Linked DNA regions of Arabidopsis thaliana. The protein of the gene in region 1 interacts with the protein of each later gene in a pairwise test. Each region holds a gene or a part of one and is shown on either strand. Other genes may lie near its edges.

The links. Proteins that work in one complex are often made in the same cells at the same time.
Region 2: the proteins of AT5G67385 (region 1) and SR1 interact in a two-hybrid assay, tested with the Arabidopsis thaliana proteins (one study listed by BioGRID).

What each region holds. Positions count from the first base shown.
Region 1 is NC_003076.8:26,882,203-26,887,989, forward strand, and holds AT5G67385 (Phototropic-responsive NPH3 family protein), read left to right. Parts: upstream 1-2,000; 5' UTR 2,001-2,551; coding exon 2,552-2,607; exon of another isoform or gene 2,608-2,710; coding exon 2,711-2,780; exon of another isoform or gene 2,781-2,882; coding exon 2,883-3,497; intron 3,498-3,623; coding exon 3,624-4,151; intron 4,152-4,335; coding exon 4,336-4,881; 3' UTR 4,882-5,228; downstream 5,229-5,787. Other genes in the region: CKA1 (casein kinase alpha 1), read right to left, coding at 1-110, 192-386, 458-587, 868-1,181; AT5G67390 (glycosyltransferase-like protein), read right to left, coding at 5,681-5,787. UniProt on the Arabidopsis thaliana protein: Acts as a substrate-specific adapter of an E3 ubiquitin-protein ligase complex (CUL3-RBX1-BTB) which mediates the ubiquitination and subsequent proteasomal degradation of target proteins. Involved in disease resistance.
Region 2 is NC_003076.8:312,640-317,065, reverse strand, and holds SR1 (serine/threonine protein kinase 1), read left to right. Parts: upstream 1-1,660; 5' UTR 1,661-2,314; coding exon 2,315-3,643; 3' UTR 3,644-3,876; downstream 3,877-4,426. UniProt on the Arabidopsis thaliana protein: CIPK serine-threonine protein kinases interact with CBL proteins. Binding of a CBL protein to the regulatory NAF domain of CIPK protein lead to the activation of the kinase in a calcium-dependent manner.

The DNA.
Region 1 (5,787 bases):
GCAAGACCCCAATCTATAAGACGAAGCTTACGCAGCTCATGGTCAATCATAACATTATGAGGCTTGACGTCTCTGTGCATTATTCCTTGTGAATGGCAGAAGTCTAGTGCCTGCAACAAGTAGTCTTACCAAATGTGAGTATGAAGTCAAATGGAATACTTATATAATCCAACCAATACCAGAATTTATACCTTCAACAGCTCATAGATGTAGTAACGAATGTCGTAATCAGTCAACGTAGGATACAAAACTTTAAAGTCTGTGCTGTTAACATATTCAAATATCAAGCTTGGAGTTTTCGAATGTTGATCTCTAACAACATCAAGCAGCTTGACAATATTTGGCCCACCGCATAGGTTCTGAAGTATTTTAATCTCTCTTCTTATCTACGAAAAAAAGATCATAGAGAGATTCAAGAAACAACCCCAATCATCCAAAACAATGTAAAACAATTCACCTTCTTTTTCTTAACAGGTTTGAGGATTTTGATAATGCACTTCTCCTTGCTGTTCACATTTATACCCTCGAAAACTTCACTATATTTTCCACGCCCTACCTTCCTTACTACCTCATAATCATCTTGCTCCCTGAGAGAGCAAATAACAAGATCAAAATGTTAAACTAAAAAATCATTGCTTTACAATAGAAGAACTAAAAGGCAAAATAAGCACAACTAAAAAATCAAATTCATCAATAGAGATAAAAGTAAAGTTTTTTACATTAGCAGCATCAATTTGATTAGATTAGCTTCATCAAGAAGCAAATCCAGAGCAAGCTGAATTCAAATTCAATACAAACACTACAAAAATCGATTAAATTACTTTAGCAACTACCAATTCAGCTAATTCTAGGGTTTAACAATCTTACCCCCATTGAACAATGAGTGACTCGTAATCCCAATAATCCTTGGGTCGAATCACATTGACTTCGGTGTACACACGAGCTTTCGACATCGCCCGCGTCTGGTTAGAATCAGAGATCTCTACGAGAAAATCTGGATCGATCGTAGTACAACCGGAAACTTCCGAGACAGCTCTCGCTGTGGGAGTGACGATAGATGAGCGTAGGATAGGAGAGTGCGCCGTTGGCGCACGTAAGGCTAAGACGGCGCACAGTAACAAGAGACGTCGAAGAGGAGAATCGAAGAAGAGGAAGAACAAGAAGAAAAGCGTATCTATCATTCACTACGCTCTTCCGCACCAGATTAACTTTTTGTTTTCCTTTTTTCGTTTGCGTTATTTTTGCGCCAACTAAATTTGCCATAAAGGCCTGACATAGTATAATGGGCTTTATTTATGGCCCAATATATTTGGACCCAAATAGTCCACCCGCTTATATACATGTTAGGGTTCTTATTTTTGGGAAGCTTTTGAAATTTCGGATTTGCATTAAGCGAGGATTCGATCAGTGATAATGGAGCTAAGTCTCGAGAAAGTCTGCAATAATGGGCAAGTAAAAGGTGGAAACTTTCTATCTGTGTCCCCACGATTCATCAAGGAGGCTGCGACAAAGCCATTTAAAGATTGTTCAGACTCCTATCACTATCAATGGGTTCTCCGACAAATGTAACAGCTAATTGGTTGATACACGCGAAGATTACGCTATGGTTGTTTTAGGAGTTGAGGCATTTGATGGATGAAGAGGCTCAATGTATAGTGTGGAAGACTGCAAAAAGCTATTGATCTTGAAGGGGTTGAATTGGTTAACAATACTGATTTTTGATTCCAATGTTGAGAACTCGAGGGAAGATTCTGTCGTCTTTACTCATTTAGCTGACCAAGCCATGAAAAACAACTAGAGGTAAAAACTCAGATTCATGTATCATCCTCTGTTTTTATTGTTTGCAATTATTTGAAAATTTTGAATTTTTCGTTGAGGACGTCTTATATTATTCAAGAGACACAATTTATTGCAAGATTGAGTAGAGTCTCAATCAAAATGTTGAGGCATATAGTGACTTCAATTATCAGAAAAAAAGATGATAAGACTCTCTGTAGGGACAAATATCCCATCATTCATGTTCTGTCACAAAACCAAGATTCTGCAGCTTACTTATATACTCCTTCCTTCTCTTCTTCTTACCACTAAACCAATTTATAGCTAATATTTGTAAGGGATATATACATTTGTGGAGAGGAATCAATACTCTCTTTTTTATAATTTGGAATTATTAGTTTGGTACAAAGATGTGTGTCTGATCCACTTGGACTCTTCTCAATTTTTAAACCAATCCATTACCACACACACTCCCTCCTTAGACTGACTCCCTATCTTGTACTCTCCATTAGAATGACATAACTACCCTGTTCTGTCTTGTTCATTGCTTTTGGTGGTAAGGGTAGTTTATGGTTTTCTTTGTTTGGAGAATTTGAGTTCTCTTTTTCTGTTTGGTCACAATTATCAAAAGAGAGGAAGAAGCTCATTTTCTTGATCTTATTCTCTCTCTTTTAGTAGTACATTACGGCACGTCTTCTTCATGAGAAGGACTTGAAATAGTGTTCCATGGTGAATTTCTTGAGTGAAAAGAAACTGCGAGCTAAGTGTTCGTAATATGTCAGCAAAGAAGAAAGATCTTTTGTCCTCAGCTATGAAAAGAACCAGTGAATGGTTTTTTATTCTCTTCATAAGATTATTTTGTTTCTCAATCCATTTTTTGTTTCCAGTCCTGAAGTAGAAATCGTTTATAATACTCTTTATTACATCGTTTCAGGATTTCTTCTCAAGAAGTATCTAGTGATGTCACCGTTCATGTAGGAGAAGCTTCGTTTTCACTGCACAAGGTAGATTATAGATCTGTATTTAGCGATCAATCTCTCTGATGTAAAGCCAATGACATGATCACATTCGTGCCGATTCGGTTGTTTTCTCTCTGAATCTTGCAGTTTCCACTCATGTCAAAATGTGGGTTTATCAAGAAACTTGTGTCGGAATCAAGCAAAGATTCAGATTCCACTGTTATCAAGATACCAGATATTCCAGGAGGCTCTGAAGCATTTGAGCTAGCGGCTAAGTTCTGCTACGGCATTAACTTTGATATGAGCACAGAGAACATTGCCATGTTGCGATGTGCAGCGGAGTATCTAGAGATGACAGAGGAACACTCTGTGGAAAATCTCGTTGTAAGAGCCGAAGCTTACTTGAATGAAGTAGCTCTCAAGAGCTTATCGAGTTCGATCACAGTCTTGCACAAATCAGAGAAGTTGTTGCCCATTGCTGAAAGAGTCAAACTTGTAAGCCGTTGCATCGATGCAATTGCTTATATGACTTGTCAAGAGAGCCATTTTTGCAGTCCTTCTTCAAGTAATAGCGGTAACAATGAGGTTGTGGTTCAGCAGCAGAGCAAGCAGCCTGTTGTTGATTGGTGGGCTGAAGACTTAACGGTTCTTAGGATTGATTCGTTTCAACGTGTCCTGATCGCGATGATGGCTAGAGGGTTTAAGCAGTATGGACTTGGTCCAGTGCTTATGCTCTATGCTCAGAAATCTCTTCGAGGGTTGGTGAGTTTCTTACAAACACACATTACCATTTTGGTTGAGTCTCTTCTTTTGTTGAAGTTCCATAAACTAGGGACAAAGAATGATGGGTATCCGTTAAAAGTTTGTTTCGTTTCTTTGCAAATGCAGGAAATTTTCGGGAAAGGAATGAAGAAGATTGAGCCAAAACAAGAACACGAGAAAAGAGTGATTCTTGAAACAATCGTAAGCCTTCTTCCTCGAGAGAAAAATGCAATGTCGGTTAGCTTTCTCTCTATGCTTCTACGCGCAGCAATATTCCTCGAAACAACGGTTGCTTGTAGACTTGACTTGGAAAACAGAATGGGATTACAATTAGGACAAGCCGTGCTCGATGATCTCTTGATTCCTTCTTATTCATTCACTGGAGATCACTCCATGTTTGATACTGACACTGTTCAACGCATTCTCATGAATTATCTCGAGTTTGAAGTCGAAGGAGTTCGCTTAAGCAATAATGGTGTTGATCTTGCTGGTGATATGGAACGTGTTGGTAAACTTTTGGAGAATTATATGGCTGAAATTGCTTCTGATAGAAATGTGAGCTTGCAGAAATTCATCGGTTTAGCTGAACTTATCCCCGAACAGTCTAGGGTTACTGAAGATGGTATGTATCGAGCCGTCGACATCTACCTTAAGGTAATATTAAGTTAGTAAACATTTACATTCATTTGCTCTATACCGAATCCGTTTAGATGAGACTACAAAAACTGGTAAATATTTGACATCTTGTGGTTAAGGAGATGATCAAGTTCCCATTATCTTAGAGATTTTGAAAAACTTTAAGAGAGCTCTAGTGAACAACTATGGTTTTTTCTTGCAGGCGCATCCCAATATGAGTGATGTAGAGAGGAAGAAAGTGTGCAGCTTAATGGACTGCCAAAAACTATCACGAGAAGCCTGCGCTCATGCAGCTCAGAATGATCGTCTTCCTGTTCAGACCATTGTTCAAGTCCTTTACTACGAGCAACAACGTCTACGAGGAGAAGTCACTAACGATTCAGATTCTCCAGCCCCACCACCACCACAACCAGCAGCTGTTCTTCCTCCCAAACTTAGCTCCTACACCGACGAACTCTCCAAGCTTAAACGCGAAAATCAGGACTTGAAGCTCGAACTTCTCAAAATGAAAATGAAGCTAAAAGAGTTTGAGAAAGAGAGTGAGAAGAAAACATCATCATCAACCATCAGCACGAATCCAAGTTCACCAATCTCAACTGCTTCCACGGGTAAGCCTCCATTGCCAAGAAAGTCATTCATAAACTCTGTTTCCAAGAAACTCGGTAAGCTAAACCCTTTTAGCATCACACCATACAACGGTAGAGGCAGAACCAAACCACCAAAAGATCGGAGACACTCTATTTCTTGAATACCATATCTATATACACATATATAAAGTTGAATTTTTGTTGGAACTTTTAAGTTCTGATTCAAGGGGTTTTCTTCCTGCTTATCAACATTTGATATTTTGGTGTGTTTATGATGTATAAACTTTATCTGTGGAACTTATCACTTATGAGTATAGATCATAGATTCAGAGAATTTGGGATTCTAAAGCTGATGATGATCAAACCAGATCGTGGGGTCATGTATTAAAAAATAATAGTAACTTTTCAATTTTAGTTCTTTGGAAATTAGGGAAAGAAATATATATAAAAATCAGAACTAGAACAGGGGAAGTAGGTGATTCTCATGAAGCCTGAAGGGAACATGACAGCAGAGATTGCATGTTCTTGTCCCATAACTAATTCATCATTGGCCCCTTTTATAACTTCTCCTCTATTATTATTTTTTATTCATAATAATTCAATTTTGCTCTCCAAAAAACAAAACTCAATTTCATTATCTTCTCCTTTTTATGTGTATTTTATAGCTAAAGATCGAACCTTATATAGATACTTCACCTGATAAATTTTGTGCTCGAAATTAATTAATATTTATCTTCAGAAACAATAAAACATTAATATTGATTTTATTTACAAAAACCCTAAAAAGAACTAGTAAACAAGAAAATTACTGATAAGCATTAAATAAAAAGGAAAAAAAATCACCTGATATGAGGCATGATAAAACAATCTCATCAGAAAATAAAAATTAAACTACTAAATTGAAAAAAAGAGATGCAAATCTATTTCAGAATACAGTTAAAAATTAAAAATTATTTATTATCAAATAACATTCAAGGTCAATGCTTGAAGCCATGGCTGCTGCTTCTGATGTTTCATCATTCTTTCTTGCCTCACTTGTTCTTCAAGATTGTTGTTATTGTTATTAC
Region 2 (4,426 bases), about 27 Mb from region 1:
AATTTTGTCGTAAAAATGGGTTATATGGTCACATTAATCTTGCATGGGACCAAAAGTAACAAGCTAAATTAATAATGTATTCTTTTATTTTGTTTGTCAACAATTAATAATGTATTCAAAATCAGTAGATATTTTGATTGGAGCAACCTTTCGAACCAACGAAAGAAAAGGGGCAATTATATAACCATCCATTTTTATTGACAGAACCTTGATTTCGTAATTATTTAACGAGCTTCTTTCCTTCCTCCTTCTCTTTTTCCCCAACGAAAGAAGCTTCCATGAAACAGCATCAGAAAAAATCAAAATTAAAAACAAATGAAATCTTTCGTACATCACATTATTAACGCGGTAATTTATTTTTATTTTATTCCCGTACATGTCTTTTAATGGATTTATATATATTAAAAAAGATGTTGATTTGGTTTTATGTGAATACTGTAGTACTAATTTATGCCTACCAAAAAAAAATAGTACTAATTTATGTGTGGCTTGGATTTATATATATGTACAAATGGGCACAGCGTGACAGCGAAAATAGTAACGTACGATTTATCTAATCTTTAAAACGTTGTGTGTTTTGGATAAATTACAAAAATAATTAAAATTGATTTTATATTTTGTTGTACGCTGCGGTGGGTAGATCACGTCGTAGATTTACTATAAAAATTGACACTGCAAAATTTATCCTCTTTTTTTTGGTATTAAACTTTAACCAAAACTTCACAAGATTATAAAAGCCTTGCACTCTAACAATGCAATGCGATGATTTCTAAGTCGTCAAATGTTTAAGTCTGAGGAATTGGGACATAATTAGTGTGATTGTGGGTAGTGATCATACATGGAACTAATACATCTTTATAAAATTATACTGACTTTCCAACTTAGCTAAGTAAGAAAATAGTAACTATTAAAAAAAAACAATGAGATAATGTTAAATATTAATCAAATTTGTTTTTCTTTTTTATTTTGGGCAAAAGTTATTTTTTCAAGCGCACTGTTTGTACTTTATAATGTGAAACATATATTGAAAATAATCAATTGAAATCTTAAATGTAGTCATATTTCTTTTTTTCAAAAAGCATCAAATAGATCAATTTGCCCATAAGACTCGATTTATTTTTCCACGAATATGGGAAAAAACAACTGGAGATTTTTAAAAAGGAATGACATATGTTTTCCAAATGTATTAACTAATGATTCCAACATAAGCAAATATATTTTCTAAAAATAGTGAAATAAACAACTGTGAAATGTATACAAAAAGCATGAAATATATTTTCCCAAGTATTGTTTAAATTTGATAAATAATTCAAGTTATTTGGAACAGTGATGGAGTGGAAAAATAAACATAAGAATCATAATTAAAAATGAACGTAGAGTTTAGATAGTGATTTGAAAAGATTAAGGAAGATTAGGAAATGACACTAGTTATAGGACGATTCCAACCTTGAGCAGTGGGGCGGGAGTTGTAGTAACCTGTCAACCGCAATATATAGCCTGGTGCTCAAAATGAGACTTGAACTAATACTAATAAGGGGAATTTGGATGTTCAAAGGACTTAACCACGATTGATGACTAAACAAAGCAGTGGTTAGCTGAATTACTAACTAACTAGAGCTAGCTGCCTAGGCTAGTCGAAAGAACAATTCTCCGTTTTGAGTTGACCATAAAATAATAATATTCAACAATATTGGAGGAAACATGTTTATATGTTCTTGTAATAATAATATTATAGCAAATAGCCGAAGATACGACGAAGCGTATATGTGTGAAATGAGTATATTCTACAGCCTAAACCCTCGGAGATACCAAATCAACACGACAACAGCGACGGGACACCTGTATGGTTCTAATTCAACTTCTTGTCCACATCTTCATCTTCTTCTTCTTCTTTTTTTAATAGATATATTAAGAAAACAAAACAGAAAATCTCCCACGTCTTTACAAAGAAAATAAAGAAGAAGAAAATAAGGAAAAAGAATCTGATAGTAATTGACAAAAATACCCTCATCTCCTACCTCAAGACAGTAATATATATGTAACAACTCGATACAGAGCATGGCTTATCTCTTATCCGAATCCTCCCAATTTGTCTGTCTCTCTTTTGTTTTCTCTGCTAACAGATCTCTCTAAATATCTGTTACTTTTGTTCATATCTTTTTACTTTTCAAACTACTAATTTTCCTTTCGCTTCTTCTATTAATAACAACACTCTCTCTCTCAGACTTCTTTTCTTTTTTTTCTACGGCGTTGATTCATTCGCAATGACCTCAGTTTCTGTGTACCATAATTGACCTAGCAGATTCTGTTTTTAATGGTAGATTCTGACCCGGTGGAATTTCCGCCGGAGAACCGCCGTGGACAGCTCTTCGGCAAATACGAGGTCGGAAAATTGGTGGGATGCGGCGCCTTCGCGAAAGTGTACCACGGGAGGAGCACAGCGACGGGTCAGAGCGTTGCGATCAAAGTGGTGAGCAAGCAACGGCTGCAGAAAGGAGGACTCAATGGCAACATTCAGAGAGAGATCGCTATCATGCACCGTCTGCGCCACCCTTCTATCGTGCGCCTGTTCGAGGTCCTCGCCACCAAATCCAAGATCTTCTTCGTCATGGAATTCGCCAAGGGCGGTGAGCTATTCGCCAAAGTCTCCAAGGGCAGGTTCTGCGAGGATCTTAGCCGTCGTTATTTCCAGCAGCTCATCTCCGCCGTCGGATATTGCCACTCCCGCGGCATCTTTCACCGTGATCTCAAACCGGAGAATCTCCTCCTCGACGAGAAGCTCGATTTGAAGATCTCTGATTTCGGACTCAGCGCTCTTACCGATCAGATCCGACCCGACGGCCTCCTCCACACACTCTGTGGTACGCCGGCGTACGTGGCGCCTGAGGTTTTGGCGAAGAAAGGGTACGACGGTGCTAAAATCGACATATGGTCATGTGGAATCATACTGTTCGTCCTCAACGCCGGTTATCTCCCTTTCAACGACCATAATCTCATGGTTATGTACCGGAAAATCTACAAGGGAGAATTTCGCATTCCCAAGTGGACCTCACCGGATCTCCGGCGACTGCTGACTCGGCTTTTAGACACGAATCCGCAGACGAGGATCACTATCGAAGAGATCATCCACGATCCATGGTTCAAACAGGGCTACGACGATCGGATGTCTAAATTCCATCTAGAGGACTCCGATATGAAACTCCCGGCGGACGAGACCGACAGCGAGATGGGAGCAAGGAGGATGAACGCATTCGACATCATCTCAGGATCTCCAGGGTTCAATCTCTCCGGTCTTTTCGGAGACGCCAGAAAGTACGACCGAGTGGAACGGTTCGTGTCGGCGTGGACGGCGGAGAGGGTGGTGGAGAGGCTGGAGGAGATCGTGTCGGCGGAGAATCTGACGGTGGCGAAGAAGGAAACATGGGGGATGAAGATCGAGGGGCAAAAAGGTAACTTCGCAATGGTGGTTGAGATAAACCAGCTAACGGACGAGCTGGTTATGATAGAGGTGAGGAAGAGACAAAGAGCCGCTGCATCTGGACGAGATTTATGGACAGATACACTCAGGCCTTTCTTCGTCGAGCTTGTGCACGAATCAGACCAAACGGACCCAGAACCAACTCAAGTACATACGACGTCGTAGTTTAGGTATCTGTCAAATAAATTATCCAAATAATAATTAAAAAAAAATATCCCGGGTTATATGTAATTGCTTTTTTTTTTACCCGGAGAATATCTCTGACATAATTATTCAGGAAATTTCTCGACAAATCTTAATTTTTAGTTGGCAAGTATGTATCTTCTTGTTATGTAATCATAATTATATTTTATATAAATGAAAAATAAAATATAAAAAAATGTATTACTTGTTTTAAATGGCCACTATAATACATTAGTAACGTATCGTGGATGTGAAGTAATGCTATGTGTACAAGACACTCTAACTTAACCATTACTTAAGGATTAGTTAACTATTCAACATGATATTTAACATACATATAGATGTAATTTTTAACAACTCATAAAACACAGTCTTCTTCTGCTATTAATTTTGTCATTATGTAAAAAGAAGTGTCAAGATTTGAGCCATGAACTAACACAACTGATCTACTTTCACCTTTTTGATAAGTAAGAGGTTGTCCTTATCACATCATTGTAAAAATATACTATTAAAATAGATATATAGCTAGTGGACTTTATATAATCCTATCGCATGTGGCTGTGATATAAGATCATACACCAATAATTCTCATCAATCATTTTCTTTTCTTGGTATCCACATTGAATCCAATCATCCATAATCCATTAATTTCAGCTTCAGCAGTTATAATTACTGTAATCAACATATATATCACCTTTTCAATGCAATAATTGTAGGCTCCACGATCTATATATTATCCAATTTACTATATACACAATCACATCG